Neodiprion lecontei: one gene and its partners. The protein of the gene in region 1 purifies or fractionates together with the protein of each later gene. This does not show direct contact. Links are inferred from orthologs where the notes say so. Each region holds a gene or a part of one and is shown on either strand. Other genes may lie near its edges.

Region 1 (12,017 bases):
ATGCCTCTTGACCAAATTCTTCGTGATGAAGATTACCCAGGAACATCCCGCCTTGCACGATGTCAAAATCTAAAACTATCTTTGATCGCAGATCGTAAGGGGGACGAGGAACTGCAAGCTTTCAAGTTTAACGAAGACAAAGCAATGGTCTGGCTTCAAAAAAAAGTTGGGCGAGTCGCAGAAATACTTAGGCAGAAAGGTGTACACGTATCCCAAGGAGCTGTTAGTGCTACCTATGTTAAAAGCAACAAACACGAATCTGGCACAGAAGTTGGTGAGAATCTGGATAGGAATTCTCATTTTCTATTGATCAAATTATGGACTCGACATGCAATAACACATTTATATCCCGTGATATATAAATGTTTGATTTTACTAACTTAATCAATAATAACAGTCTCAATTTCTTTCAGAATATCTTAAGTATGCACATGGCATCGTTTCGGAATACCTTGCTGAAGACTTGTCTAAAAAACTAGCCCAACACTTAAGTCTGCCCGATGATCCAGAAAATAAAAAACGAAAGTCAAACAGTCCAAAGGAAAGTAGCGACGATAAGAAAGCTAAAAAAGACACACCAGAGTCAGAGTCTATCCCAAGAAATGGAGCACTAGACTTAACAAAACCTGAAAAGGTATGTACGTATGCTAAATTATAGAAAATTTGAAAATCTCGGGGATTTGTTTTCATATGACAACTTTTTAATAGATCTCACAGAATTAGGTGAAAAATTCATTGTGCAAGCTTTCTAGACACTTTGTTCTTTGCATATAAAAATTTTATATGCATTTAAAACAGAGAAACCTTTTTTCCATTAAACGAAAATTGAAGCCAATACAACCAATTCAAAACTACAACGATGTGACGTCACCCGTGCTAAGGTAAATTTATATATTACAGAATCAGTGAAACTCAATTGCTTGTAACATCTGCAATCATCTTTTTTGACAAAAAACAAAAAATTCCACCATATTGTTTTACATTTCTCTGCTTTATATTCATCTAAAAAATGTATTTTCTTTTTTTCCATGCAAAGACCTAATTTTGTACGGCTTTCTAATGATATATCGGTTCATAGTTTATGATGTGACAAGCATGATGAACATTGCTGTCCCAGATTGAATATAAAATAAGTTTTCAATAAACCCAGAAAAAGTGACTTTTATAAGTGAAAATCATTCCTTGTTTGACAATTATTCTGAAGTATAAAGAACTGATTACAAACCCTGACAACATTTAGTTTTTGTAACCTCTCATGCAAAATTTATTTTGTAACTTAAAGACATAAGTGAGCGAACTTAGATTGTAGGGCTGCGGATCAGGTGGCAAATATCTTCGGATACACTAGCTGTGTAAAAAGTATCATGACATGATCATCAAGCAGTCGTTTGTATCATTAACGAAATTTATTTATTGATTTCTTAGACTCTAAACAGAGTTAACAATATCTATTTATGCATTGGAAAGGTTGCTTTAATTCAGGAAATTCTAACCAATTTGTTGAAACAGTATGAAAACTAGTTTTGTTCTCATTAGCTGGCTTGTTGGAAGACTTGCATCTGAGAACTCATAACTCGTCAAATCTTGTCTTCATTATGTTTCACTGAGGCGACTTGTTTCTTCAGGGGAGGGCATTATCTCACTCAACAATCGATGTTCATAATAAAACAGATTTCAATAACTTTCAGTATTTATCAAAGATATACATCTTGTATGACAGTAAAAAATTACATTTTCGTAATGAACCTTGAATGAAGAGCAGGAATATTCCAATCCTAAACCATATAAAATTATTTCATAACTGTCTTTATTTTGATAATCATAGCAAATGTTTTTCCTGTTTTCCCTGTACTCTGAATATACATATACTCGTTATAACAAAAAATATACATTTTATACCAGCAATTTAAAGTCAACTTTTCCTTCATTGAAATGCATTGCCAATTGAAATATTATACTTCCACATTAGTAAGCTCAATGGATAATAAATTGTGAACACTTACTGGTCAAATGCTTGATGAATTTCTAAAACAAACGTAGGCCTTAGCACTTGTGAAATAGGAATCAAACAAATGACTCGATCGGGTAGTCTTATATTAATTTTGGTTATGAAATATAGTTTCGCTATAAATTTACATGAAATGAGCTCACAGTGACAGTGAATTAAAATGTATCAGTTACCAGAGCTAAGTGTCAGATTATTTTAAAAATATCTTTTCAAATATTGTAGCCCCAAAAACCTCTGACCATTTCGAAGAAAGAGATGTCCAGACAGAAGGCAGCAGCTGGTTCAAAGAATATTTCGAGTTTTTTTAAGAAGAAATGAGCGGTGACCAAGTCAACGAAACAATCAATCGCCAGTTGGTTTTCCAAATTTATAAGAGATCTTCAAAATATTCTGAGAAGTCTCTGCGTTCCTATTGGTGTTAAACTTTAGATTTGAATTGGTAAAAATATCTGAAGGAAATTTGAAGGTTAAGCAATGTTCAATTATCTACTTACATTGTTGGAAAAATAGCCCAGAAAACCCCGCAATTGTTAATCTAGAATGGTAATCAATCATCACAATGGATTCATAATATATAATTTGATCTCACCTGTCAAACGTAATTCAAAATCTGCGTCAGTTAACTGTTGCTCAAAATATTTCAACGAAAATTAGTCATTTATTCCATTAAATGCATAAGTAAGATTTATTTTATATTAACACATTTCACGATTATCGAATTATATTTTATTATTACTCTTACATAGAGTTTGATTCCTTCGATTTTCTTTTCCTGATACAAAAGTATTCAACATTTGGGATGAATTTCGAATTAATTAAAAAGAAAAGATTCAAGACTTAGGGTGTTGATCTGCGAAGATTAATACATCAAGTGAAAAGTAAACACTCGACGTTTTTTGAAGACATTTATCCTGTACTGTTGCAATGTTTAACTTAGAATACGTTAGATATAAAATTCTAGTATTACGCATTTTACGCAATAAGGAGCTAACAAACGAATCCTACAATTGAAACTTGTGTAATACTTAAAATAGAAAAAGAAAAAAAGCGAGTGTTTTTTTGTCTCATATATTTTGTAATATTATAGCCTTTTCATTATTGGTTGGTTAGCTCCTTTTTGCTTCCTATAATATCCTTTATTTTAAAAGACTGTCCGAAAAAGCAATAATTTTTTTCGTAACCAATATTTAAAATTGTCAGAAAATTTCTTCCTCACTAATTGTAATTTTTCAAAGCCAAAGTTGCAAAAGTCATATTAGGGTAATATTGAAATGTTATAATAATCTAGAATATAGCATATTTTACGATTATCATGCAGTTCTATTGAAAAACTCGCAGCTATGTTACACGCAGGAAATCCAAATCAAGAATCGACTTTTGCTACTTTAAATTGAAGTCATTCATCTGGATATCTGAACTGTGTTATATCCAGTATTTATTGCATATTTTTATGATTTCTATTTGTGAATTCGTATCTAGAGTCATGCACTTCATTTTTATTTTCTCAAATACTTGAAAACAGCTACCTTCAATGCTAATTGTCATTTACTGTGGATTTGCATCCTATTAACAATGACATGTGTTTGAGTTCCACCTGATGCATGAAGGATATTAATGTAAATATATGATTGTTTTTAAATTATGTAAACGATATCTGATGGTTACTGTAATTTGAAACAGAAAACCGCTGACACTGAGGTACAGCATATTTGATATCTGTATATGTGGAGTCACATAAATTATCCCATGTGTTTAGTTTGAACAGTATACGAATATTTTGTACTTTATTTTATATATTGCGTCGAATCGACTTTCCCGTTTTGTCATTTTAATGAAAACTACAATTTTATATTTGTCGTACTTAATTAGTGATGAATATTATTGATGATTAGTTGGAGGTGTCGATTGTGATAGCTCTATGAAAAGTTTCGAATTAGAAGTATGTATGAGTCGAAAAGAGTGTATGAGGATAAGTGATAAGTATTTGTTTTTGTCCTGGCTGTACGATGAAATATTATGTCAATATTGTAGATGTAATATAATAATATACATTCAGAAACAGCTATGCTGTATCCCTATCTCTGTCCATGAAAAGCTCATTTACTTTCAAGAAGAACACGTCAAACATATAAAATATGGTTGAAATTATGACTGAATATCTTGTAATCTGACTAAAAAACACATAAAGAAACTTCAGTGACTTGACTCAAATTAATCGATACATTCTTGATCAACATGCACGGTTTTTATTTCATGTTAGATATTTTATTAAATATTTATTTAAATTAATCGACACATTCTTGATCAAGATACACGGTTTTTATTTTATGTTAGACATTTTATTAAATATTTACATGTTACAAACAATGAATTACAGGCGTAATTACTTTAATATCATCTCATCTTGAGCCAATTCCGAGAATAGCCTCTCATGTAATCGACATAGGTTCACTCTTCGGCTCTGTAGCTTCAATATCCCTGCATTTGGCATGTTGCAGTTCTCTCCGTACTTCACCAGTAATCGAGTGATGTGATTGTTTCTTCAATAATTCCAGCAGAGCATCCCTCTGTTCCGAACTGACATCACTTTTGTAACGCTGAACAAAAGTTAAAAGTGCTTGATGCCACAGAACAGGCAAGTCTCTTGAGTCTGTGCTAAATCTGAAATTTTATAAGTAACATTTACATTGTTAATCGATTGATTACTGTTACCTTTACATTGGATGTGTTACATATCATTAGTGTCCGAGAATCGTGATCGGGAGCCACACCATTAAAAGTGTAATTTTGACTGATCAAAATAACTAATAAGAATTAGTTATCGCATGTTCATTACACATAGAGAATCAATTTACTTTCCAGACTGACTGATGCAGTTACAAACCAAAAGTGATATTCTACAAGTTTTCATTTCAACCAAAAACACAGAAATTAGAATTGATTATTTTTCTCTATATCTATTTCACTGAATTGTCAAATCCGAAAAATAATGGTATATTCTTGTAACAAGAAGAACTAATTATAAATACTAAATTACAAACCTCAGAAAATGAAATACAACAGCATCCACGACGCGATATGGAAGGGCATATTTTTTGTCCAAAAATATTCTCAAAAAAACGCTATTGGCACCCGTGTAATCCATTTCTGCAATTTTTAAAATTGCTGCAGACGAATGTAAAATTGGAATAGAATTTTTGGCAATCACCGAACCAATTATGGTAGCTTCCCTCAGTGTACAAGAACCAGATTCTAAAAGTGGTAATAGTATGCCCTTCATAAAACCACCAGGCTTGAATAAAGCTTTTCTCAATGCTTGATATAGGTGGAAATTCAGCCTTTTATATTCGGCAAGGTCATCCCTGACACGAGGTAATAAAACAAGGTTGAAAAATCTTTGTGCCATTTTCTCTTTCAAATTGGATGCAAAAATTCTAGTTGCCTGATACATGGCAGCAGCAGACCATTTAGGAGGATCTGTAATGTACAATATCTGCTCCCAATTCTTCAAATTCGGCACAATTTTGAAAGCTTTTGGTAATTTTCCACTGCGGTATTTAGCCAGCACATCCCTAACTCCTTCATACATTTGTCGAACCCTTGGATCAAGTTCCTGCATCTGAATGGAACCAGCATCAGAGAATTGTGTATGAATTTCAGTCTTTTTCTCAGTCAACTTGTCCATTATGATATCAGCTAGAGTTCGCATCGGCGCTTTATCTCTGTTCATAAACATTTCCAAAGCCTGTTCATCCTCTTCATTAATTTCTATGTTGTCGTAAAAGTGATTTCCTGTTTCATCTTCACTCGATTCTGCTTGCCCCTCGCTATCATCATTGCCAAGTTTAGTAACAGGTTTTTTTGGAGACTTCGAAGGTCTTTCCATTTCATCCTCCTCCTCCTCCATTTCCATTTGTTGACGCCTGGCTTGTGATAAAATCTTTTGTGAAAGACCAGAGTCGACAAACTGAAATATTCATTTTACTTTAATAACCACTCATTGTCAGGTGAAAATCGTGGTTAAAACAGATACGTATAAAAATCGCCCGAAGTAAATATTTTGAAAATTGAATGATTTTATCTCATGCAATTGCCACAAACATCATGAATGCCTCTTGAAACAGACACTTCCAAGCAACGTGGTCACCACCTATGCGGACACAGGTACAATTTTTAATCGAGCCAGGCCTAGTGTAACAGACAGATCATGCTGGCAAAAACTTGTAAATGGGTTGGCACAGGCTAAAACCACATTGATTGGAGGGGTCCATTTTAAAACACATTGCTGGCATATTAAGTAGAATGAAATGTTAATATTTTGTTGAATCTTAAGAAACCACAATTTGCAGGGTTTTTGTATAGATTATTGAGGTGATACTTTTTAAAGCCACACAGCAAGTTTTTATTTTTCATACTGTTATGTTTTTATTGCACTAGCATCTATCAAGATGTGCACGCAAGGTTGAAAATTAATCAAACAAAATGTCTAAAATTATAACAAAAATTATGCTGTAGAGCTTAAAGATAATTCTTCAATGGGACATATATTGAATGAAAATGTCAAGAAAACGTTAGATATTTTCAACAAAATTTTTTATGAGGCTGAGGATCGTAATGTTTATGTCACGATGTGTTTATAAAGGCTAAGCCATTGCAGTAAAACATCTTTTATCCGAACTAATTGGGACCGAGCCTAGTTCAGTTAATCAAAAGTTCGAATAACTGGAATGCAATTTTCATCTCAAGATATGATAACATATACAACACAAATTTGAATCTATAATCAGTTTATATTAAATCTCTTTCAAACACCGAACGCTTATTTTATCGGTAGAAGTAATATTACAAGTGGAATAGCGCCGAAAAACGAAAAATCTGCTCACGTATGTTCAAACATGCGAGGTTCTCATCAAACGGCAGAGAACAACAATGTATATTTTGTGCTAACAATGTTTTTTTGAGTCAATGTTCGGATAATTCAGAGTTTGAAGACCTAAGGTTCAGATAATTGAGATTCTATAGTATTTAGCAATATTATAGGATCCTTTCAAATGTAGCAAACAATAACAGAACATGCATTCTAAGATATTATTGCAAAGCTGCTTAGACAATGCGGAGAATATATTCATGATCTGTAATTGGTGTAAAATTATTAAACAGTAACAAAAATATAATAATTTGACATTGGTGACATTGACTAAATGGAACATTGAGCAACTAATTATTAACTAGCAACCATAGGATTACCTAAGAGTTGATGTTTCAAAAATTGAGAATGTTTTGCTTCATTACGGTTTACATAATTTGAGATGTAAATTCTAAAGTCCGGAAATGTTTTGTAAAATTGCGTCATTAAATTAACGTGACGAACTTCGACCTCATGAAAAACTGGGATAATTTTTGTTCGACTCAATTTCAGAGACTGATATTATGAAAAAACCACTTTTATTTGTGATGAATTACACATACTTCTTCATCTTCATCTTGTCGATGCCTAATTTTTGTCCTGTTCTTCGGCTTAACCACTTTTTCGCTGTTTATCAGTTCTGCTAAGCCAATTTTAACATCCTGACGATCTCGCTTCGAAACCTTTATTTTCTTCGCTTTACCCATTTCACAATGATTATTTTAATTTATTGTCAATGATGAATCGAGAAGTAATGACAGCACGTGGAATAGTGGCTAGAATCACATACATAACCAACACTGAAGCATATGTTCTTAGGGGCGAGGAGTCACCTTAGAGCATGTACTACTGGAGATAGCTTCGCGTGTACAGAAAGTGTAGCGGAGGAGTGACAGAGAGAGGTATATGTCGGCTATCATCTCTGTAACCACCCTCTTAGTATATATGCTCTAACAAGGGAACGCTACACTAATGACATTTTTCATATTTTTCATACTTATGATACTGAGCAGTGAGGACTTGAATAACAATTCCCCAAAGACGTTCGATTTCAAAGTCTATAGTTTTTGAGAAAATCAATTTCGAAATACTACGAGCGTGTTATATACACTAAACGGTCACCATCCGACAACGCAGTCCGTGGCGCACCGGGTAGCGCGCTAGAGCGATATCCGATGTGGCTAACTATATATTTTACTTTTATTAATTTTTCCTTTTCTTTTATACGTTTGCCCACATCATTTACGTGTGGACTTGATTAAATTTATGCTGATTAACAGATACTTCGTAATTTACAATGATAAACGTGGATCTTGCTTTCGCATACCTGTCGCTTGAAAAGTCGGGCTTACAATTGAAAATGGTAATTCTTAACTAATAATATTTGTGATAGATTTAATTTTTGCACAAAACCTGCCAGCCTTCCCAGTTATTGACCCTGGCCCAATTATTTACCTTTTTTGGTTGCATATGCTTAATCCTCAGTTATAAAATTATTAAAAATAAATTTGTAGTGTCTAACCTTCTAGGAATTGGTTTTAGTCATCGAGAAATTTGCAATGTGTGCCTTCAATTTATAATTTAGAAGAATAAATGGATGAATCATTGGGTCTAGACGTGTCGATAATTGGTACACTTACCTTAGTCAATAAATCATCTTAGTAAAGCTAGTTTTCATATATGCCATAGATCTTACCCTAGTAGTAAACGAAATCACCTTCAGCTGGTATGTTAGCGATTGATATGGCGATCTAATATAAACGACCTTTTCAAAATTATATGACATGGTGAGCGTAGAAATTCTGTCGCCATGCATATGTGCAGTATAGTGAACGTTATTTAGACGCTGCGCGCCATTATTTTTGTACTGTGGGGTAGTCTCCGCACCACGCGTGCCAGACGGGAGAGAGTGGGGGAAGTAAGCGAGCAGCGCGCATGCGCAGAACCAGAAGCGCAAAGCGAGCGAGTAGCGTGCCTGAGTGGGACGGGACGGTAGTCCGGTTTCAGCGCTCACGGATAGAGGTTTGCTCCGAGTTTAAGTAGCGCTTCCTTGCTTTATTCGCATACTTACAATAAAGTGAAAATTTCGACAGCAAATACTGTAGAAGCATTTTGCTGCCCATGAAAATTCGACCCGTGTTGGTGGGTCGTAAAAAAACTACTAGGAATATCGAAGGGGTCAGTGTCTAAGTATTTGTACTTCTGGAGCTGAACAGTCGGAACGTTATTTGTGACTTAGTGAACTGCTACAGTCGATGATCTATACGATTGTGTTTACTTTATGATTGCCATTGTGTTTACAAAAAATTCCGAACAAATGTGCATAAGGACGAGTTTTAAATGAACGAACATTCACATTTTATCGTCACATAGTTTAGTGATTTCGAAGATTTCAATCTTGTATTACTCTTGTGTATAAAATGTCAACAATGATTGAAAGTTGAGTAACATAGTCGCAAATTTAAATCCTCTCCGGTCCATAGAATGGTAGCATTCTAAGATCCGAATTTCGGTCTTGGCTATTCTGTGAGAAGAAAAACAATAAGCAGAAATTGCTTTAATGCTGTAAATACTTGAACTGAATAGTTCAACAATTGTTGGTAAAAAATGGCTCTACATAGTGTTCCACCAAAGCGAAAAGAAATTTACAAATATGAAGCACCGTGGCCACTTTACAGTATGAACTGGTCGGTGCGCCCCGACAAAAGATTTCGTCTAGCATTAGGCAGCTTCGTTGAAGAATATAACAACAAAGTACAGATTGTTTCGCTCGATGAGGAAACTTCCGAGTTTACTGCCAAAAGTACCTTCGATCATCCCTATCCAACGACCAAAATAATGTGGATACCTGACGCCAAGTGTACGTAGCTCACTTATACCAACTGTATCCTCAAAAAGTAAAACAACGAGCTCACTTTATTGTATAATACTGTTGAAAGTAAATAACTCAGTTTAAAGCTGAACAAACTGGTCATCTTTTGTTTTTCATTGATGTAATCTTCTAGAATTTTTTCAAGAATTATTGATTACATGTGATCATTATGTTGAAAACAGCATGTCATTATCACAGTCAGACTTCGATACAAAACTTGTTTTATTTGAATTCGCTTTTTTTTTTGGTTTGAATTATCGCCAACAGTTTATTAACCTCTTATGTCAATGCTCAGAGGCATGAAGTTCTTTTGGTATTTTCTGCTTGGTCGAAACCATGTTTTTGAATGAGATAGTTTTTTGTATGCAAGTTTGAGTCAATCTGTAGTGTGCTATCTTCGGCGAAATTAATAAATATCGTTAATAGTACCATAACTAATCTTAAATACTTATATCAATAAACAATTGCAAGCATGAGTGCAGCTTTGTACATCTAAGACTTTCACAGTTAGATCTAGTCTACAATTTGTATTAAACTCACATTTATATGTTCCATTGTTTATGAATTTGTATGTTACGGGAACCATTTACATCACTGCTATAAACTTTAACCTCAAAGCTCAGCCTTATGTTAAATAGACAATAAATTGTGGCATCGATTACTGTAACTAACCACACCTGTTAAATTTGCTGCCTCATCAAGAATCGTTTCTTTGCAATGAATCTTGAATGATTTCATGCACAATAAGTTGATAAAACCTGTGGCCGATTTCAATCGTATAAATCAATAACTTCATAGGTATATTCAATATAACACACATTTTGTTGCAGCTCTGTTTCCTGATTTGCTGGCCACATCTGGAGATTACCTGCGGGTTTGGCGTGCAATAGACGCAGAAACACGACTGGAGTGTGTACTGAATAATAACAAAAATTCGGATTTTTGTGCACCCCTCACATCATTCGACTGGAATGAAGTGGATCCAAATTTAGTTGGAACATCAAGTATTGATACAACTTGCACAATATGGGGCTTAGAAACTGGGCAGGTAGTTGGGAGAATTAGTGTGGTCGCTGGTCACGTTAAAACACAATTGATTGCTCATGACAAGGAGGTCTATGATATTGCATTCAGTCGAGCAGGCGGAGGAAGAGATATGTTTGCATCGGTAGGAGCTGACGGGTCTGTGAGAATGTTTGATTTGCGCCACTTGGAACATTCTACAATTATATATGAAGATCCTCAGCATACGCCACTGTTGCGCCTTGCCTGGAACAAACAAGATCCAAATTATTTAGCCACCGTTGCCATGGATGCGTGCGAAGTAATTATTTTGGATGTTCGAGTTCCTTGCACACCAGTCGCTAGGCTAAATAACCACAGGTACATATGACACAATAGTTCTTACTTGCCTTCATCACACTATCGAATTTTCAATGATGTCATTTTTCAAATGTAGCTTCAAATTGTTTTAAAAGTTTTCTCGTTTTGGGAAATTATTTCTTGGAAGAAACATTGTTACAAGGAAAATAAGCCGCAATGCTCCACTATCAATATTACATATAGCGTGAATTTTATAGCACAGTCCCATCAAAGAAGTTGTAGGTACTCTTGCTCACATTCAATCTAAGACCATTTAAGATAAGTTAGTCAAGTTTAAGAAAATTATATTTACAAATACAGTAATTTTCCTAGAAATGCAAAAAGAAATAGAGCCTGAAATTACGAACAGAAACTTCAACACCGTTTTTTTTTTATTTCAAGATACTTCAAACGGTGACAATTTCAATAGATTCGTTCAATTTGTAACGTTCACGCTGACTTGTTTTGTTTGGAAAACTGTTTCATACATTTTCTTGAAAATATATTTTTTTTCATCCAATAGTTGAATCAATCTGCTATTTATTGGTCAAAATGGACAACAGAGCAATCTTAAAAAATTACATATTGAACGATACCAACTTGATAAATCAAATAGTCATGTTGAATATATTATGTTGTTATATTAATGTCAACAGTTCACTCGTGATCATTTTTCCTATTTTTATTGGGTATATTATCCGAATGACAATAAATTTGATCAAAAAGTATTTCCTGATCACCAAGTTTTCGAAAGTACAACATTATTGAAAGTATCAATATTAGAATCACGTATAGAATAAACAATTTCACTCCAAAGTTATGGATCATGATATCTACTATATATGTATATAGATAATCTATAGATAATA
Region 2 (9,613 bases), on another chromosome or scaffold:
TTAAATGACAACCACGTGCGTGGTTGGGATTTTAGAAATCCAACTGATCAGGTGTGGGCAATCCAGTCAGCTCACTCTCAAATTATAAGGTGAAGATTAATCAACTCATCTAAATATTTTCACTAAATTTTGCAAATTCAGCAACAATGTATTGAACCTACGACATTGCAGAGACCTGGATTTTAACACCAACCGTCAATACATCTTGTCAACCTGTGGTGATGATGGCTATATGAAATTTTGGGATATCCGACAGCCATCTGAGCCTGTAATGTCGCGAATGGAGCATTCTCATTGGGTTTGGAGTATCAGAATAAACCGTTTCCACGACCAACTAGTTCTAACATCTAGTAGTGATTCTCGAGTAATATTATGCAGTATATCATCTATTTCTTCAGAACCGTTTGGTCACCTAATTTCAAGCGAAGACGAACCTGCGCAAACCGATGATGGCTCCAACAAAAACAAGTAGGCGTATTCAATTTTATTTTTTTGTCACCTTATGACGCATGATGAGATAAATATCAATCCATGTTCGTTATTATTGGGATTCGTGAATAATTTTCAATAGAGCTTGCTCAATTATGTGCCCAGTACTTACACTCAAGGGTCAAAGTCAAGTTTTGATCAAGCATCGATTAGAGATCTATTACCGACTCTGAAGATCAATTCTATTTTATATAACCAACAATTTCAGAATGGAAGATAGCGTTGTAGGAAGGTACGAGGAGCATGAAGACAGTGTTTATGGAGTTGAATGGTCATCTGCTGACCCGTGGACTTTCGCGTCACTGAGTTACGATGGCAGACTGGTAATTAACAAAGTGCCACGAAAATATAAGTACCAAATACTATTGTAAATATTAAAAGTAATAAAGAATTAAATTTTATATAAATTTAGAAAAAACCTAGTTTTCATTTTGCGTAAGAGTAAAGAATTGCTCAACTGGTACAAGTGACGACCAATATTATTGATATACCAATCAACCTGCAGTTGATACAGAGTATTATGTAATTATTCGACATACATACTTTGTTACAACTCGCAAGAGATAATTGAAACCATGAGTAAAAATGTGAAATAATTTTTGTCATAGACAAAAGGTAGGATTTATATTCCTCTCTCTGAATTATGTACAATAGTTTGAAGTATTTCTTCCAGTGTACAAAAAAAAGTTAGCCACAAATACACATAATTATACGTAAGCAGTTTGTATCGAAGCAAATGAGAATTTGCTAATCTGTTACAATTGCTCAATCCAAATATTTAAGACTGTTATTTTCACTGACACGGTTTACGTTTGTTAGCAATATGGTAAACATAAAAAGAAAATAAATTTTGCTGGGGAGTTTTGACTGAAACGTTTAATTACAATCGCTCTGATATTCGGCCAGCGACATTCCTCAATTGACCATAAACTTTTGATGGTGGACTTCCCAAGATTAAATTGCAAATTGCTCTTCGTGCAAGTTGTATATTTTGGAAAGATCCAAGAATATGAATTTTAGTATCAGCCAAAACTATTCTTGTTTTTGTCACATTTTCAATGGTAAATTTTGTTCTACCCCCTTTGCCAGCTAACCTACCTATCGCTCTGGACAAATGGTCACCCTTCAGTGGTTTCACATCTTGAACCTCGAATGTTTCGACAAATAAATCATCCAACCGCAATAAGGCCAATGCATCTTCGACTTCAAAACCATTGATGAATGCCCGCACAAAATCAGCAGCTTTTTGAAGATTTGATATATCAGGTGTGTCAGGGCATGTACGAATTTCTACATTTCTAGATTTCAAATTAAAGCGAATTTGAAGTTGTAGATGCTCAACAACAGGGGTGAAGATCTTCATCCAATTCTCTTTAAGCGGTGTATATCTATGCGCAGGCACTGGAACCTGAAGAAATCACGTGAATTATTTTAACATGTTGTTGAAATGTTGACATTACAGTGAAACTTCCTAATAGCAAACACCTTTGAGACCAGAAATCTTGTCCGCTATAGAGAAGTGTCCGTTACTAAAAGGTATATTTTTCATTATGCTTTTCTACCGGAGACTTCTAACTTGTCCGTTATAAAGAGGTGTCCGCTGTTAAGAGAAGTTTCACTATATCGCGAAATGATCATTGGAATACTCACCTTCCGTTGCTCACCACCTTGGACATTTTTGGCTCGTTTGACAGAAGATTTAGTTTTCGACTTCCCTTCGATACCATTCACCGCATCGACCTGAAAATCAGCATGAATAAATTTTCCAATATTCGATAGAACAATAGCAGGTTATGATTAAAAGTGACGAAGAATACTGAGAACCTAAGAATTTGTAGTAACATAACCTCTTACTTCCATGTGAGTTTCACTATTCTGGCGTCTTTTTCCCGACGTCTTCGCCTTGGATTGTAATTCTTCGTTGGTTTGCATCTCGACATTGTTTTCAGTCATGTTTTACCAAACTTAATATATGTTTTAATTTTTATCTTACTTCAACTTGAAAACAAATGTCTGTAAAAAGTCAAAATAGCGTGGATATTTTATTGCAGAGAGCCAAAGATCTCGTTGGATCTTTTATAATTCTCAACCATAGACGTACACGTTGAGAAACGAAGGATAACTCGACTCAGCATTCTGTGACTATCAATCATAGACGATACAAAATAACCATGATTCGTACATACATACATATTCGAAATCTGACACATCACTTGCTCTTACTTACCGACATGACATCAAATTCATATTTTACGTTGATTTAATTTCAGGTACTAGCATATCTTCAGCATTATTCGTGCAATATTGATGGCAATTTTATTACTGACAACTCGTTAGAAAATAGCCGAATATACAGTAAGCTCTAAATGTGCGCCTGCAGGCCTCAGTAGTAATGCATGGGAATTTACAGAAACCTTACAGAGAAAATATAAAAATAGTTCGGTCCTGTAGAATTCCACGCCGAGATGGGGATTGTGGAGATGTAACAATATTTTATACAATTATTGAGCAGTGTCATTAGCGGCCGTCACTGCACCATGTCGACTAGCCAATAATTGCAGGCTAATTGTTGCACCCCCGAACTCTTCAGCACTCTACATATTTGTAGTTGCTTGTACCTAATGCCCTTATACTCAAGTTCAAGGCAAGCAATAGAGTTTTCATATATGTGCAATTTTAGTAAAAATGAACGAGATTGTGACTTCACTGTAAGCCTATTAGCTTCAACGTTGTTCTGCAGGATAAAGTTGATGTTCCTATGAATCCCAAGCCTCAAATATAAATAAAGTTCTGCACATATCAAACAATTTACTTGCCAGAAATTGGCGAGGCACGTGATAAAAATCAAGAAATTTAAATTACCTTTATCCCGCTGGTATACTGTTAGCTATGATGTCGTCATTCTGCCTTAGCCAGTCAAGAGAAAAAAAGTCACAACGATGTCGAAAAAGTAATTGAAAATAGTTTCAAATTGTATGTATGTAATCTGTACAGGATTGATCGACAAAGGGGTTTTTAATAATTATTAATAATCGTCTCTTCATATAATACATACGTTTATCACTGCGTTGAAACAATATGGAATTTTCCGTTGTACATGAAGTATTAAAATGTTTGGTCATAATGGTAGGCACATCTGAGACGACTACGCTTAAAATTTTTCACTCAACTAAACTCATTAATGTATATCTACCTTGAAAATTCTGTGAATAATATTTTTCGAACAGTCATCAATTTATCAATCATACATGATTGTTGATATATTTCCCCCGATCGCAATATTAGATTTCGACGACGGACGTATGTTATCTTTCATATTCACGAATAATCAAGTAACTCGGAAGTAATCTGTCGAAGGCCGCTTCGCATCAGATTGATTTGGATACCAATCCAAAATAAAAAAACCAAACCGAAAGACCTTTCGTTTCGATGCAGTCATCATATACGGATGAGTATTATTGGATTTATTTAATTCTCGACTTCATCTTTCGAACCTGCAATCAGAAAGTAGCTTGACCCTTCTACTCCAGGTGCCAAAGTTACAGACTAAAAGGTATAAAGTGCCTATTTGCAAAGCGATCGATGGGTAGAATTTCCGCCGATCTTACAATTAGTTTTTGGCGTACCATATTCTACTTTAATCTTAGGTATAAACTGACAGCGCAAGTCCGTAGTCTCGACCGGCAGCTGCTCATTTGAATTTACTTCGCATCGAGACGGAATGGGAATTGCCTCTACACGCTAGAACAACGTATAAGTCGTCGACTAGTTAGTTGAAGCGACCGTTATGATCCAATAAAAATGACAAATGATTCAAGAAATCTTTTATGCATCTGTAGTATTATCAAGATACACCTGTTCGAGAATCCGTAGGATAGATTTTATCGTACGAAAGAGTTACGATTGTGAGCTTGCGAGCCTCTACTCGCCTGACCCAGGTATGGCAATATATATTGTGTATTTATACATTTGATGATGTTCGAAAAATGAACAGTGTTACGATGTTCAGAACAATTATGTAAAGCAGATATTATAAACAGCTTTGCAATTACACAAGTTTAGCAATGTTTTTGCTAAAATAGCTACACAATTGGAAGATCTGAATTCAAGCAATACACAGCTATGTCCGGAGGTGATACAAATTGTAACGAGCAAATGCGGTAACCGTGGAGTGCCACTAAAGTCTGGGTCAGTTAACGAAAGATGGGACGCGAATATAAGGGCGAAGAATGAGAGAAGCGGCACAAGAGTCGAGTTTAGAGACAGTGTCAGCGTGAAAGTGGAAGAGGGAAGCTCCCTGGAAGTGGAAGTGAGTGGAAGACGAAGAGAAAAAGAGAAGGTTGTCGGGGGGGGGGGGGGGGGGGAGGGCGGCGAAAAACCATGCCATCACTAATTCCGCAAACCGTTGGGTAGCGTGGCTGTAGCAGTGCATCCCCAAAGGTCTAAGATGAAAATTCTGTTCTAACATAACCGAAACAAATTAAAGCGAGCCGAACTTGTCGAGTGCATTCCCAAGTACACGAAATTCCGTTAAAAGAGATCTTCGGTTTCCAGCATTCCTACTACCTGAAATTGTCATTAAGCGAACGCGGTCCGGCGTAGCAGAGACCCGTGAATAGTATATTGCCTGGAGGAAGATGACGCTCGACTAGAACTAGAGAGCAAGTTTATCTGTTGGAATAAAGCCATTACCTGGATAGTACACGGTCATCCTACGGGTCCTGGGAAGGAAGGATGGTGGGCGGGTTGGCCGGAGCGAGGGGGGTCCGCGACCGAGAATGGGCGGCTGGTCGTCGTTGCAGGGTGGCTGCCGATGCCGCTGCTGGCTGCTGGCTGCTGCCGGTCCTGCAAGGGACGGGTTGGATGTGGGTACTTGGATGTGGATCCATCCGGGCGCTGGATGTGTGCGCGTCCGTTCGTCGGCGTTGTCGGCGGTTCTTGGGGGGCTCAGAGGGGCCATGGGAGCAGGGAGCACGGCGCGGGCCGCATTCTCTACCTGTGTGGTAAAACGCTCACTCAGGACCCCAAGGGGGATTCTAAAACAAAGACTACTCAACTACGACCACGTTGTTCTAACATCACCCTCATTACGAAACAATTTCCACATCCCTTTTCGATACTTAAAAAACACCGCCAGCTTACCCACCCGTCCCCGTTACCCGGTACCCGGGACCAGGTCCATTCGCTACCTTCGCCACTATCGGCCGCCGGGCCCATTAACCAATTGTCATGTGGTTATTAGTAGGTATGGTTTCAATAATAGCGTGGGACTGCGAGCCGGGGACACCGCGTGAGAGTCAGCGCTGTTCCTTCCTTCCTTCGTTCGTTGGATCGTTTTTTACCCTCTTATATTCTATATACCTATACAGATCCAAACCTAATCACGTTTTACCTGCCGCGTCAGCCCGATGGATGAATACCGCATACGTTGAACCGTGCGGGTGCAGTTATATTCCCAGAATCTTGCTGCCTCTGACAAGGATCGAATTATTGGCGCGCGAATACCGAATTACAGCGTATACCTAGGCATCCTACATGTATCTCGAGCCCAACGATCCGCCCGGAATATTACTACCCTAGGACGCGCCAATTACCCGGGCTTCGTTTCTCGACTACACATATTATGCCCCTTCTGCATAGCCCTGGGCCAATACGACGCGAACCACGCAACGGTGGCACACGAAATAAAAGAGTTATGCCTGCGGAATTATACGCTTCTGTCGTATATATTTCGCGACGCGGTAGTTCTTTGCTCACCGGGAGACCCGGGACGCGCACCTTTACGAGTGCAAATTGCATTCTTTGACAGACACTTTATTCCAGGGGCTGGACAAATTGTTCAAGCCGTTAGAAAACAGCGAATCCCTTACAGTACGCGTTTCTCCCGAGCGATCAATTTTCCCATATTATTCCACCTTGCGAGTGTTAAATTTTGGCACCGTGCGTCTTCTCTGGAGAAACAGTATACATTTATTGTCCCGGTAAATAAATTCAAACAGAGTCTTAAAATAAGAACAACAAAACTTCTTTCCGGCACCTTGGCATTGCGAATATCGCTGGTATTAAGGTAGTACGGTAAAATTTATTTGCTCAGTGAACGTCATTGGTAAGCTATCAAAGAATTTCGTTGTATAATAATACTTGCGAAATTCTTTCTTTGATCTAGCAAAAAAATTCTCGTCATACTTTACACTAACACTGTTCTGCTACGCTAAGAATTTCGTTCTCTCTCTTTCTTTTACTATTTTTATTCACACCTTTAAGATATTCATGTGTTTGAACTTCGACGCGATTATTTGTTAATTAGAAACAAACTCTGTATAATGGCTGCCTAAATCGTAATAGAAGAAGCTTCTTGAACGTTGAACAAACAGTCGGACGATGATGTTAAGTTGGCAGATTTCTCCTTCGTAGAAATTGAACATTTTTTTCTCTACTCGATGAGTGCTTCGTCAAACACGTTAAGTATGTCTCATCGACGGTGACTAGCTATATGAATACACCCATAGGCAATTATAGGTCTCTCCAAGATTGCAGGTATGTAGCGTTGTACATGCGTACGTATAAATTTATAAATCACCAACAAAGTATGACAGGAACGTTCCAACTTAATTGAGGTTCCCACGCGAATTTAAGGATCACGGATCTTCTTTTCTTGCCACTTCGGCAACATCCATTGACAGTGAATATGGACTTACATGATTACGCTCGCGTGCTGACGTGTAAATCACCGGCGTTCGACCGAGCTGCGAGAGTTCAAATCGGAAATCTTGATCCTCTCCATAGCAATGTAACGTGACTAGATGTACGCTCGCACACGGAACACGCATCTTTGGTGAATGCGTACAGATAAGATGGAAAAAAACGTGCGTGTGTACGCATCGAGTGATACTGAAACATCTTCGGAGACTAACTATTTGGGTTACCAGAAAGCTTTGGGGCAATGAACATAGTTGATATTTCCAGCTCGCATCGGAACACCATAAATCGACGTCCTTAACTAACTTATAACAAGATCCTTCTTTAAGCCAGACAACAACAGCTGAGCGGTCAACGGACGTCTATTATCATAAAAATCATTGACGTCACGTTGACAGCTAACATAGTTTCTCTTCCTTTTCTTTCCCTTCTTTTTCTAACCTAACCGAAACGGCTGCTAAATAATATGTCTACATATATACGTATACGTATTATATACTCTCAACATAACGAATTCCAACGCAGGTTTGATTTCACACCACCACTCAAATATTTCAGAACGCGTTCAAACTATGTCAATTTTGTTTTTAAGACACACTTTAGATACAGTATCGTAGTGATTCATACGGTAAGTACGGTAGTTTACGTTATATTGAATGTTTTAAATTCAAAACCAATCATTTATACGTCAGAGCCGATATTAAAGTTGTCTGACAGTATGTATTTTGCAGGTCATTACCTCGCTTTGCTGAATGCGGTGGAATTCCAAGAGGAAAGAAATAATGTTGCTTATTAATTTCGAATGAATCTGACCTCCTTAAATTAATCGAAATCTGACTCATTGACGAATACAAGAAGCTCGTGAAGGTGGAAGCTAAATCGCGTCTATAGACTTGTAACAGAAGCTAGAAATATTTTTTTGAATCATATTGGTTCCGTTATGCTTGTAAGAGGAATGGACAACCCACCGACGGTTGATTTTTTTTCTTATAACTTTCGAAACCAATATATATTTTTTCCCGCAGAAAAATTTCGAAGTTGCGGCGATAGTGCTGCTAAACTTTGACAAACCTTGGTAACAAGCTATACAATTTGAGTCTGTTCAAATATGTGTCCCTCTTCTGAAATCAAAAGTTGAAAGCTTTAGAATTTGTTTGCACAGTAGCTTGACCCCAATTCTAGATACGATATTCTTAAACCATTTTCAACGAATGGTTCCAAAAGCTGAGATTCTTTTGCAGGTATCATGAATTTTGAGTGTGGATTTTCACGGGTCGTAACTAAAGATTAAATTTTATTATTCACTACGAGTGTACAGGGAGAACGAAGTGAATAAGGCCGCGGAATGTAACGAACGAATGATCTGCAAACGTAACGAATTCGTTGCTTTGCATTCTTCGGAGAGCCGTTAGCTTTTACGATCTCAAAGCCAGCCTGTTCCTGAAAAATATAATCAATTGGTACCAGTTCTTAGGCGTGTACACGACGTTCTGCAAACTCCTGTAGAATAAAATGTTCGACATTATCCCATGATATTTATACTTTAGCTGCAGAAATACGAAGAAGTCTTGATAGCAGCATGTTCAATATTATAAATTCCATCGTATTCACATACGTACACCGGTTACTAATTAATCAATTCAATTTTCGGCTGGATTGGTAAGTAGGTGAACGTTCACAATCTCTTGTGCAGCGGGGTTACCAATTCCGAAGATAATGATGCGCTGCGCAGTATCCCACACTCTGCAGGGGCGTTAGGTTCCATTTGTAAGCCAACTGCTAAAAAGAAATAATAAATGGTTCCAACGCCGGTTACCGCGATTAAACAAACTAGCTCGAAAGGTTTTAAGTTGGAACGTGTTTGTACCTAAAATAACGAAAGAATTTACGTCGAAAGCCGGCAGTTTATCTCAGAGTTTTATCGCGAAGACAGACGCGAGAGATCCTTCCATAGCTCAGAGACTGACAACAGAAAGTCAGTTGTAACCGGAATCCGTATACATACATTGTATTAAATAGCAGAGTATCAATTACCATCCTGTTTTTAATCCACCGTACACATCTGAACTCCGTCGTTTAGCTGCAGCGTATGCGTTAGATTCGCAAATTGCGCAGATCGTGTGTTTCAAGTGTACCAGCAACGCTCTTTTAATTTTTTTTTTTTTTACTTGTACTGAAAGAAAAATGCATACGAACGTCTAAGTTTAAAATAAAGTCATCTAATTTATGATGAATATGTATAAACTGTTTTTGACATCGAAAATTGGTTTCTCTCCTCTTCCCGTACCTTATTTTACGCACATAAAAACGTCTGTGCTTTCGAGATGACCACTCGTCCTAAATTATTATATATATATATGTATATAATGCAGGTTTTTTCTAGGATTTGTGTTAACAAAAAATTGTTTCCGAATCGGCTGTCAAG
Region 3 (11,718 bases), on another chromosome or scaffold:
AAAAATGTAATTTCCCTCAATTGTTAAATTGTCAGCTTAAGTAAATACCTAAGTGAAGACCTTCGCCATGGGTATCATCAAGCAATCCTTACCTTAGCAGTCTCTGTCTGTACCCCAATGGCAACTCCTTCCAAAATCGCATGCAAGGCCAACGCCGCCAAGAGTCCCGGTAGACTCGCGTTAAAATCAGAATCGGGTTCGATGTGTGCTTCACGAGTAAGTAAGGTTTCGTTTTCATCGGGCCAAAGTGATGGAGTCGAAGGTGTCGTAGAGTGGACCTCATTGTCAGATACACTTCTCTGATTGGAAAATGTGTTTTTCACATTTGGCTCGTACGAACGATCTCGAAGTCTGCCGTGAGTGTAAGCCTGATAAGAAACTTGAGAATCAGGGTTGTGACCGACGTATTCATTGGAGAAATTTCCCTCCCTGGCATCTCTGACAGTGACCTTACAATCATCATTCCGTCGAAGTATTGATCTGAAAGGAATATGATTACTGTTTTGAATGGAATCGTCTGAATATCTTTGTCGTGCATCAGTTTACGTTTCGTTTCAGTTTTATCCGTAAGAAAATGTCGCACAGATTTTCTTCATCGGAGCAAACCCAACAATCATATCTAGCCTCATGAAATACACTAATTCTATTACACTGTCCTACTGCACAGTTTTCAGTGAAGATCACCGATTCAGAGATCTCTAGACTTACGTGGGCTTGATCCTGCGACTTGTTGCAGGTCGATGGACGTGCGGCAAGTTGATGGGTCGACCCCGTATAAGGTAAATCATTTCGTCCACCGCGTAAAGTAAACAGAACCCGCCGCAGAATAATAGCCCTGCGTATAAGGCAGGGAGAGATTGTATGGACTCTGGAAGCATGTGCAGCGCGCAAGTGGCAAATAAAACTCCAGCGCCAAGACAAAGCAATGAAGAGGAGACCTGCCTTCGTTGTCCACTGCAGTTTCTGCATAATACGGGTAATGTTCCGATGAAGATACTCCCCCCGAATATCAACGCCATGGACAACATCTTCGCGACCAAATCGTTGAATTCCATCGTTTCAAGATAGGTACACGATTTGCGGTAAGAGTCGAAACTTTTCTACACCAAACTTTACACTCAACGATTCAACACTCTACAGCTTACCGCGACAAACAGTAGTGAATAATTGCCATGAACTTGAACGAGAGTTACCCCTTTTTTCTTTATTTATAACTCCAATAATCTCAACGGTTCGCAGTGTGTTGTCTGTTGTGCCTGGCATGAAAATGGAATGCTTGATTGCGCTGAAGTGATGAAACCGGAATTATGCACATCGAAGTATTCAGTCGCGTAAAAGTGGTTAATTTTCTCACGGGCGAAAAGGCGTCTACAAATTAACTTCACTTCACGTCCAAGCATACCAAAGCAATGTTTATCCCGACAATACGTCAATGCATTGTGATAATAATTACGAATTATAAATTATGCTCTTGGACAGCACGCAGCAGAGTTTATAAGACACAATCCCCACATAACTTGTTCGATGTAACAATACCAATGATTACGTTATCTCGGAGACTCCGCTATAAATGCTAGATGCAGGTCACCGATAGCAGTAATGCATGTGTTTGATATAGAGAATACATTTGCCAAACAATCATCGATCTCTCGTTTTCGAGGTCACGTGAAGTCGGTCAAGTGGAAGTTTAATCACTGCTTTGAAACAATGAACCAAATTTTTGAAGTTATCTCAAATGCCTGCCTATGGCCTCATAAACATGTTGATTTTCCGAGGCAATGACTTCATGTGAAGATCAATACTCTGATATTATAATTACGACATATCTTCGAAAACGAAAATACGCAAAATTGTTTGCACATTTCACTAAAAAGAAACGCAATAAATAAAAATTCTGTGAATTGTTCTCACTGAACTGAAAAGCACCGTCTGCACGTATGGTGGTGGGTAAATGCTCGGATATAAATACGCATAGAATGAATCACGTTCCGCATGTATGAGGATTTCATCAATTGTCTTTTCACGCAGAGACGCGCCATAAGAATCCATCAAAAAGCAAAAATTGTTAGGCAAAACTTGTTAGGCAAAAATTGTTAGAGAAAAATTTGAGTTGTAGATTGAGTGGACACTTGGGTTTCGTTAAAAAAAAAATGAGAATACTTCTGATATCTATGTAACTTTCTGAAGGGAGAAAGCTATTCCTTATACTCTCTCAATTCTACGCAAAATTATCCTGCACGTAATTCAAGCTACGTAATTGACACTCCAACGGATTGTCATCAAATCACAATTTAGTCTCCAACAGAGACCCGATGGACCTTAATTCGCGTAGTTGTGCAACAAAAATGATTGTAAACGTTGCAAGTTGCATGATTCTAGACTTTTTTTCAATTGTATGTACGCAATGTTATATATTCTACTATTAGTCCCACTCACAACTTCAGAACTAGGCTTACCTTTTAGTAATTTTAAAACTTTCTTTTAAACCTTAGCTTCAGCAAATTGGTCGATTATTTTTTTCAAGGTCAAACTGGCGTGCTATCTTTTTTTTCGATTGACAACGTTGCCAAAGAACTTCGACGATGTTGCAACATCCTATGCCTCAGATAGGTTTCCATAAATTTTAAAACATAAAAGCTGCTTTCGTATGCTGCTGCAGTAACTGACATGGTTCAAAAACTTGTGCATGCAGTAATTGTATCACTGAAACTACTTGATGCGGGGTTGTGAATCAAAAGCAGTTCCGCTACTCCGCGAATGGAAGTTAATTTTGGAAGATGACTATTGTAGCTAGGTTTTAAGCGGAGCAGTTCTGAACACAAGCTTGCTGACAATTCCGTTGAATACCTTGATAACAGCACATCTGATGCAGTCAGAATAGTTCCATCGGATGACTGTAATAAAAACGGGGGTTATAGGCATTTGAAATTGACACTCAACCGATTAACAGACTGAAACCTGGTGTCAAGTTGGGTAATTGTTACATCTAGCATTCTATCAAACACCTCAATTTTGAAACGCTTCTCATAGTTAGAAGTACGTTCATCTCCCCGCAACTCGTCGAAAAATCGCCTAATACGTCGTACTCGCGTTTCGGGAAAAATGGGCTCAATTTTCCATGTATTTGACAACTCAATCGCATCCCAGCCTTCACGGAGTCCCAATCATTTCTCATGTCTGCGAACTGAATAATGAGTGTGGAAAGCATCTCAACTGATTTCTCTATGTCTTTATCAGTTCCTTGAGTTCCTTACTTTACGCTAATAATTCTGCCAACGATAGTAAATTTCGCAAGAAATTCCGCGTTGCTTTGATTCCTCATGTGATTCAATATCGCGACCTAAATGAGTCGAATCTGCGATTCGTTTTACAAATTTCGCATCTGAATTCGATTTATCAAAGAGCCAATACGGCCGACAAGAAAAAATATTTCTTGTTGTCGAATAACCCAACCATCATCTTGTGATTTTCATCGGCCCCTCACCTGTATAAAGATTCGCGCTGAACCCTCGATTCTTGTTACGACCAGTTGTGTCTTTAGCAACACTACCCACTGGTAGACTCAGACCAAGTTTAAAAATTAGTTGTTTGATTCCGGCGGCGAACATTGTGAAAATTAGCTCAATCTGATCGGTAGTGTTGCAATCAACATTTGCATAAGGTTGTTCATTGGCCGAATTTGTTATCGAAGTTGCGTTTGGCACAGATGTATTTATGTGGATCTGCTTATTCATTTGGAGTGAAAATGAGCCCCTGAGGGCGCGGCGTACTGTCGTAATATTACGTCAGAAAACAGTGTAACTGGCGGAATTTCATCAGTCGCAGAGGATTTTCTATAATTGATTTCGCTAATTTAGGCCACGCTACTCAAGCTCGGAGTTTCGATGGCTTCCTTCTCCAACCGCCTCTTCACTTACAGTGTCAACACGCTGCACGATTTCACCCCGAATCCCACATTCAACACGCAGCAATCTCGCTTTTGCGTACGTGAGAAGTGCCCTTTATAACCATTCATATTCATCTGCTTCTCACAACATCGACCGGTTTCCACTCGCGCACGCGACTCAACTCAACGACCACCGGTAACCTCCCGGTAACAACAAAGGGAGCATTCGGAGTCAAGTACTCGCTCAACTATACTTCACTTGTGAGTGAAGTTACGAAGCGCCGCCACCTGGCGGTGAACCTGAGAATTCAGTCGCCGGGCACAGATTACTCCACCGCAGTGCCCTACCCTAGCGTGCGCCCCTCGCTCAGAAGCATCTTGCTCCAACTGCTCCATGGTTGCTACGCCACTGACCCAGACTCAGGTAAGCAACCTGGATTGCTCATCACTAACAGCCTAATTGTAGGCAAGAGATATGCGTATGTAACCGCCTAATGGTATGCAATTTGACATACAAAATTACAGTAAAATAGGTTCATGGAACTGCTTGGAACTGAGTTTCGACCATGAGAGAGGGGCGCACAGTATGGATGAGTACCGCTTTTAATTAACTCTGACTTGTGCCATTTGTTCGTTCACTCAGTGTAATACACGATAAGCCAAAAGAGTTTCAATAATATGTTTTAGAATAAAAGTGAAAAAGTGTTACAAGTGTATGCTCCGTTGAGCAAGAAAGAGCTGACTGCTCTGACACGTGTCTGCAAATTTGCGAAACATATTACCGTAACCTCTAAGAACATAACCTCTAAAAACCATCATGGGAAAGTTGAACGTGACAATGTTGCGTTACCTAAGTCGTGAAGATTTTCGCGTCCTAACAGCCGTGAGTGAAATTAATAGTATCAATGAAAGCACTCTTATTTTTCTTTCGAACTCGAGTACAGCGCTATTTCTGCAGTCGAGTAGTCCATGAATGCAAATCTGCGGTGTGATATCTGTGAGGCGTCACATGTAGATTTTGTTGATGCAAACCAAGATCAATAAAACTATGTTTTATCCATTTATCAATCATTAAGGGTTGAACACAACACATCGGTTCAATTTCTTTTCGCTTACTTTTGTGAGAACCGATACCAAGTTGACATGCAATTTAGACTCTATTATTCATCTCAAATTGTTTCAATGTACAGATCACAGTTTGTGAAATTCCCTTAATAATAATCGAATTATACCTAATAATTCTGACACATTTCTGAAATCATAATTTTATGAATTGTTTCAGATTGAAATGGGAATGAAGAATCACGAACTTGTTCCAGGATCATTGGCTGCTCAGATAGCTAATCTACGGCATGGCGGAGTACACAAATTGCTGAAAGAGTTGTGTAAACATCGTTTGTTGAGTTACGAACGTGGAAAACATTGTGAGTGGTTTTTATTCTGGATGACAAGCAGGATTAGGGAATTTCGGTTGATCTGCTGGATCATAGGACTGCTAACTGCAGACTTCTTTAAGTGCCGGTCGCTTTTTGGACCGTAACTTCCATTTACTTCATCATTTCAAAGGCTTTTAGAGTGTTACCTATTGATTTATTTTCAGAAAAAATTATTAGACAACTTGGATTACTATTTTTATTACAAAACTCATCTTTTTACTATTCGTAAACAGAATCTATAGAGTCGAATCGAATACTTTCATGATTAACAAAATTGTCATTACAGATGACGGTTATCGTCTGACTAATTCAGGGTACGACTATCTGGCTCTGAAGGTTCTGGCAACGCGAGGTGTCGTTTCATCGTTCGGCAACCAGATTGGAACTGGAAAAGAGTCGAATATCTATGTAGTAGCTGACGAGGAAGGAAATCCTGTCTGCTTGAAGCTACACAGGCTGGGACGCACTTGTTTCAGAAATATAAAGGATAAAAGAGATTATCATCAGCACAGAAAATCCATGTCTTGGCTCTACCTTTCTCGAATATCAGCTACACGGGAATTCGCCTACATGAAGGCACTTCTTGATCGAGGATTTCCTGTACCAAAGCCCATCGATTTTAATAGACATTGCCTCGTTATGGAGCTTATTGACGGCAAACCAATGTACGGTTCAAAATTTGTGGGAAACTTCTAATTTTCTATTGACCTGTATGTAGCGAGGTCTGCGCAAGTGAATAACTGAAAAAGTGGGTGAATTTCGTGAATCATGTGCGGACAACTAATTACTCAGTTCAATTGCAGTTTGCTTTATTTAAACGTTTGTAGACCGAGATTCATTCACTTTTGATTCATTAGACTCAATTTTCCGGAAACAATGTTATTAATAATAACGTCAATTTCGCTTGGTGATATATTTTGCCCACGATATCTTAGAAATGGCTTAACCGATTGACTCTAAATTCGGAAAGAGCATTCTTAGATACTTTATACTCTTTGCTACAATCTGGAATTTTCTTTTTATTGAAACGGTAACTATTTATAATTTGAATTCGACTTTTTGTCCAAAATCGACAATATTAATATTCAGTTAACAAAAACTATATGATAGTTGAAAAAAAGTAGGTTCGTATGAAACAGAATAAACTATGCAGGAATACTCTGAAAATTTAGAATAAATTGAGAACAAACTAATAAGTATTGAATACTTTAAATATGTTGGACAGGTGTGGCGTTTACGAGGTTGATGACGTAGAAGGTCTCTACCAAGATCTGATGGATCTTATTTATCAGCTCGCAAATCACGGTGTTATTCATGGAGATTTCAACGAATTCAACATCATGATAACCAACGAAGGAAAGCCAGTAATAATTGACTTCCCTCAAATGATTTCAACACAGCATCCAAACGCTGAATTAATGTTCGACAGAGATGTGAACTGTATTCGGGACTTTTTCAGAAGGCGCTTCGCATACGAAAGTGAATTCCATCCAAAGTTTTCGGATATCTCGTGAGTATTAAATGGCTTATTATTCACTCTTTCACGTGATAACTGCATACCATATTTCATGTTCAAATATTTAATTCCAAATTTCCTCCTTTAAGGCGTGAAGACTGTATAGACATAGAAGTAAGCGCAAGTGGGTTGACAAAAAAAATGGAAAAAGATCTGCTTATAGAGATGGGAATAAATGAAGATGACATGGATAGCGAAGATAACGATGACGAAGTAGCTGACGGATACAATCTAGAAAATGAAATTGAAAAATTGAAACTTGAAGTGCAGAAAGTATCGGAAGAAGACTTCAAGGCAGATCTAGGGGATTCTCAAAAATCGGGCAAAACTACAGAAGCTACGGAAAAAAATACCGAGCCAAAAGATATCAAAGTCGACACAATAGGAAAACAGCAATCTATTCTGGCAGAGGATAACGATTTACAAAAAACCGATGTCTTCGCCCCAAATTTAAACTGCAATGTATCGGACGACGAGTCGGTTTACAGCCAAGCACAGAGCGTGGCTCAAAGTGTTAGAAGTATTTCAACAGCAGCTACAATCGCTCCAGATGTAATTAAAAAGCGAGTTAGATCATCGTTGGAGAAAAGAGCGAGGAAAAACAACTCTAGAAAAACGCTTGCAAAGGGTGAGGCCAGCGCCACAACCAGAAGTCGTAGAGAAAATCGCGACACCATCAGAGAATCTACCGGCTCTGGTATTTGGGGCTGTGAATAATTGTCTGGACGTGTTACTGCGGAACTTCTGTAAAGGAAAAATCGATTATTGGGTGAATGTAAGGTTTACAATACGATGCTTGATTTTCGCGTGTATGTGTACATAATCTAGTGAAATTCTATTTTCTTTTAATCGATCAGCTAAATAATACGGTAAAGCTGTGCGGGTTCCCGAAATCTCGATAAAAAAATCCCAGAATAGTGGGGAAACCGGAAATTGCTAAGAAACCCTAAACGTGGGTAACCTAACTTACCTAATAGTTATCATATTGGGCAAATACTAAATACTAATAATAAATTAGTATATCCAAATAACATCAATATTTTCAAAAAAAATATCTTGAAAATTTTGACAACAATGATGTTCACGGAATTCCGAAAATCTCGAGAACCCTACTCGAAATCAATAAATTTTTTCCGACCCAAGAAATTCTGGTACCCGCACGGCCCTATTATGTAGGTATATTATAATTTATAAGATTCTCGCGAAATCGTGCTCCAGAAAATACAACTACATACAAAACAGCGGTGGTGTTGTTAATTTTATTGTGGTTTGGCTCACAAGATATTCTGATTCACCAGAAAAGTTTAAGTCCCGGGAAGCTCTACGTATTTTCCGTTGATTTAGGTCACTAGCAGCCGTAGAAACTCGCGTTAAATCGCATTATTGAACGCAGGGTCTCATCTTGATCAATTTCCTGATGATTTCTTCGAAGGGCGACGTTCTGCACACTCCTCAAATTGACCGGCCAATAATAAGTTAATTTGCTGGTCTATTTCTTGATTTATTTCTCAAATTTTCGTACATTAGGAGAATCAGACATGTTACCGAATTTTTTACTACTATCATTAACTGCTCAATAAACCAAATTTATCTCAATTTCGAAGAAATCTGGAATATTACTTAATCGGAAATTATAATCAATTTTGTTTCTGTGTTTCACATTCTTTTCCTATTGAAAACAATAAATCTTATCAGTAAAATTAGAAACCTGATTCTTTCTGAGATCTTTGTCGTTACGAAGAAACGTATTTACGCGATTGAAAATGAAAATTCAAGTAATCCCGAATATTTTTCCGCAAACATCGTCGCATGTTTTTTTTCTCGATCATGAAAAATCATGAAAGTATCGATGAAATTTAAAACTTGAGATAAGTCCCGTACAAGATATCGCGAAACGTAATCGTAATTGCACCATTTCACTGCTTTTGATAACAGGAGCGTATTTATCTTCACGTTCAAATTTCAAACTTGATCGAACGCTTTCTGTATTTCTTAATCAGCAATATCTCTCCATCCATCCTTCGTTACGTAATTGTATTTATGTACATCCGCAGCGCAATATAAACGATAAGTTTTAACCCGTAAGACTTTCGATTTTTATCTAAGAAAATTAATTTTTTTTTTTTCACTCGACGTTTTATTCCTCGATCGTGTCTTGCCAGCAATAAAAGATGCGGCCTGAATTCTACTGTAATTTATTATTACAGCTGTTGACTCTACTAAATTATCGTTGAAAATATTGTTACGACATACGGCAAGACTGAAATTTTCACGCGATTCAACTGCCGTTGAATTCCGACGTACAATTTTTAATTCACTCGTCTTCTATCGATCAAATAATTACTTCACTTACAAATCATTTTCATTTCAATGCCGTATTAGTCACTGATACAAAATCAGTTGTCCGTACATTCGTTGGATCGAGTCTGAATCTTTAAATGTTAGTTAACTTTGAGTTGACGAAAGTTTTATCTAGCTTCAGAGAACTTTATCTCTTTCAATCGGCGGTCTTCGTCAAAGGTTCTGCACAATTCAAAATTGACCGCAGTTTCGATTTGTCATATTTTTTGCTTCAATCTTTGCGAAGCGATTGAATTTTTTAACTGCTAAATTATAAACAGCAAACAGTCTGTCTCCGTTAATAAGTATTTTCTATTTTTAGGTGGTTAAAATAAGGTCGAACAAAGCGTTATTACTTTTTCTCTGAATTGGAACAATTCGTATCAACCTGTTTTTAACGATTCTTTTTGTCGTACAGTTCTCGACCTCGATTCGAGTATCGTAATGCCTTAAACGTGAAGGTCGATTATGAAAAGATGTAATTGACTTTTTGACCCGAGTTGAGGGCCTTTTTCAGAATCTGATGCCCGTATGTTATATGTGACTGCAATTGAATTAACGGCAAGTGACAGACTTATTTGCGTAGTAGCTTACATGTACACACGTGCTCAATTGACGCAATTCTCATGACCGCGTTGAATGAGATTAGGAATTAAAATTTGAACTCGTGCATATTGTAAAAACCTATGGTTCGTGTTTTTAATGTTTTCTATTTTTTTTATTATTCTTCACCGGGCGTCACGAGTTTTAAACGAGAAATTAATTTCCATGGAATGCTAGAAAAAGATAAATATCTAGATTAGAAAAAAAAAATCATTTACGTGGATACATGATGATTTTCCAACTGTGAATAGCCTGCTGAACATTATTAATTATTTATGCCTAGGTCAGTACCACCTCAAATTTTAATATCTCTTTACCATGTGTAACTTTGCAATAGGAATAACCCAACTTATTTACTAGCAAATGCCAGAGTCGATTGTAATTAATCGTAATCTCGTCTTTATTATCAACTATACACTGTTCGGAGAAACTATGTATTGTACAAAAAAAATAAGGCGAATATAAAATATAAACAAATATGTTGATAAAAATTTTATCACTAATTAATTAATTACGAACCATTGCGCCGAGTTGAAACTGTTGATAAATCAACGAATTAATGAGTTCAAAAATTAAACTATTTATGTTCGAGCGATGTGGGGATATAAAACACGAAGAAACAACGGGGAAAAAAAAGCAACCACAATCGCGACTAAATCAAATCAACACCTCTGAGTAATATTGATGCTATCTCTCGGCTTGGAGTATTCGAACGTTCGCGTAGCGAAGAAATCGTAATCTCCTCGTCATTCAAATTGGAGAGACCGAAAGCGCCGGCTTAGATAAATAATTATTATGCGAAATAAAAAAGCTCTTATCCAGGTCGGATCAGCTGGCGGGATTTGCGGTGTCATAAGAGATATGACCATGCATACGTCGGTACATGTGATGTGTGAAAAATAATACTGGTACGTGGCACGACAGAAGAATTAGACAACGGAAATTGCAATTAGGAAATTTCAAACTATCAAAATTGACTAAGTTGATTTTTAAACGACATCGAAAGTGCAGTGTAAACTGAATGGCGAATCTCATGTCGTCGGCATCCCATTAAACGATCAAGAAGAATAGTGAAAAAATTTAGAAGAGTCAGGAAAATCGGCTGTTCGATTTGATATGGAAAGCCACGTGTGTATAATATTTATTATACCTGATATACGTATCAAGTGCAGATTTATATCTGCGAAATACTTTAAGAACTGGGTATAAAACTAATCCGACTCGAAAGATATTCGATCATGAAGTAGGATGTTGTGTAAAAGAAAGCAAATTCGGTATTTTCGGACCGACCGTAAGTTTGCAATATGAGTGGTAGAAGACGAATATCGCAAATACTCGAGGCAAAAAAACCGCTGCCACCTTTTTGCGCGCAATTCTTTACACAATAAGAGTATGTTATGCGTTTTTTTCACGAAATTGAGGTTAGGATCGCGTAATGTCAGATTTATTCGCGACAGCGCATGCGCGCGGTACAGAAAATACCAGTTTTAAGCCCTAGGAGTTGAACGCAGTCTTTTCTGTACTACGCGCATGCGCATTAGCGGATTCACGCTGCCGTTGTAGAGTCGGTTAGTTTGCGTACGGAAAACACACATGAAAAAACATGTTTGCGTTACGTAAAATCTTATTAGAGTCGTAGCAGGTTGAGCTCTGCATTTGTGCCAGTCAACATCTTATCTCTTTACTCACGTGGAAGATTATAGCCAAAATAAAAGTACTCTTATTAAAAGGCGAACCGGCGAAAGGTGTTTATTAAAGAGGGGAGACGTGCGTACAGTACGAAGGTCCAGCAACAGTCACTGTTGGTTTACAATAATGATGATCCGAATGATATCGTAACGTGATTTCAGATGTCAAACAAGAATCTCACGCAATCAATGGTAAACCCGAACCGATCCAATATACCGACCTTTATTTGTTTTTACAGACACACGCGC

Evidence for each region.
Region 2: the proteins of bystin (region 1) and RNA-binding protein pno1 fractionate together in Homo sapiens (co-fractionation; 4 studies listed by BioGRID and IntAct, with this or other methods). This does not show direct contact. The link is inferred for Neodiprion lecontei from reciprocal best matches to the Homo sapiens genes BYSL and PNO1.
Region 3: the proteins of bystin (region 1) and serine/threonine-protein kinase RIO2 purify together in Homo sapiens (affinity purification with mass spectrometry; 3 studies listed by BioGRID and IntAct, with this or other methods). This does not show direct contact. The link is inferred for Neodiprion lecontei from reciprocal best matches to the Homo sapiens genes BYSL and RIOK2.

The regions. Positions count from the first base shown.
Region 1 is NC_060263.1:25,728,123-25,740,139, forward strand, and holds bystin, read right to left. Parts: upstream 7,742-12,017; 5' UTR 7,622-7,741; coding exon 7,478-7,621; intron 5,976-7,477; coding exon 5,050-5,975; intron 4,670-5,049; coding exon 4,438-4,669; 3' UTR 3,249-4,437; downstream 1-3,248. Other genes in the region: ribonuclease H2 subunit B, read left to right, coding at 1-274, 414-634, 799-881, 2,231-2,246; DDB1- and CUL4-associated factor 7, read left to right, coding at 9,522-9,774, 10,617-11,169. UniProt on the Homo sapiens protein: Required for processing of 20S pre-rRNA precursor and biogenesis of 40S ribosomal subunits. May be required for trophinin-dependent regulation of cell adhesion during implantation of human embryos.
Region 2 is NC_060262.1:28,526,354-28,535,966, reverse strand, and holds RNA-binding protein pno1, read right to left. Parts: upstream 2,578-9,613; 5' UTR 2,443-2,577; coding exon 2,344-2,442; intron 2,230-2,343; coding exon 2,140-2,229; intron 1,898-2,139; coding exon 1,370-1,897; 3' UTR 861-1,369; coding exon of another isoform or gene 698-860; 3' UTR 501-697; downstream 1-500. Other genes in the region: EARP-interacting protein homolog, read left to right, coding at 1-89, 172-468, 698-860. UniProt on the Homo sapiens protein: Part of the small subunit (SSU) processome, first precursor of the small eukaryotic ribosomal subunit.
Region 3 is NC_060262.1:6,596,524-6,608,241, reverse strand, and holds serine/threonine-protein kinase RIO2, read left to right. Parts: upstream 1-4,303; 5' UTR 4,304-4,703; coding exon 4,704-4,769; intron 4,770-5,168; coding exon 5,169-5,310; intron 5,311-5,608; coding exon 5,609-5,987; intron 5,988-6,547; coding exon 6,548-6,832; intron 6,833-6,927; coding exon 6,928-7,555; 3' UTR 7,556-8,079; downstream 8,080-11,718. Other genes in the region: protein zntD-like, read right to left, coding at 93-480, 709-1,055. UniProt on the Homo sapiens protein: Serine/threonine-protein kinase involved in the final steps of cytoplasmic maturation of the 40S ribosomal subunit. Involved in export of the 40S pre-ribosome particles (pre-40S) from the nucleus to the cytoplasm.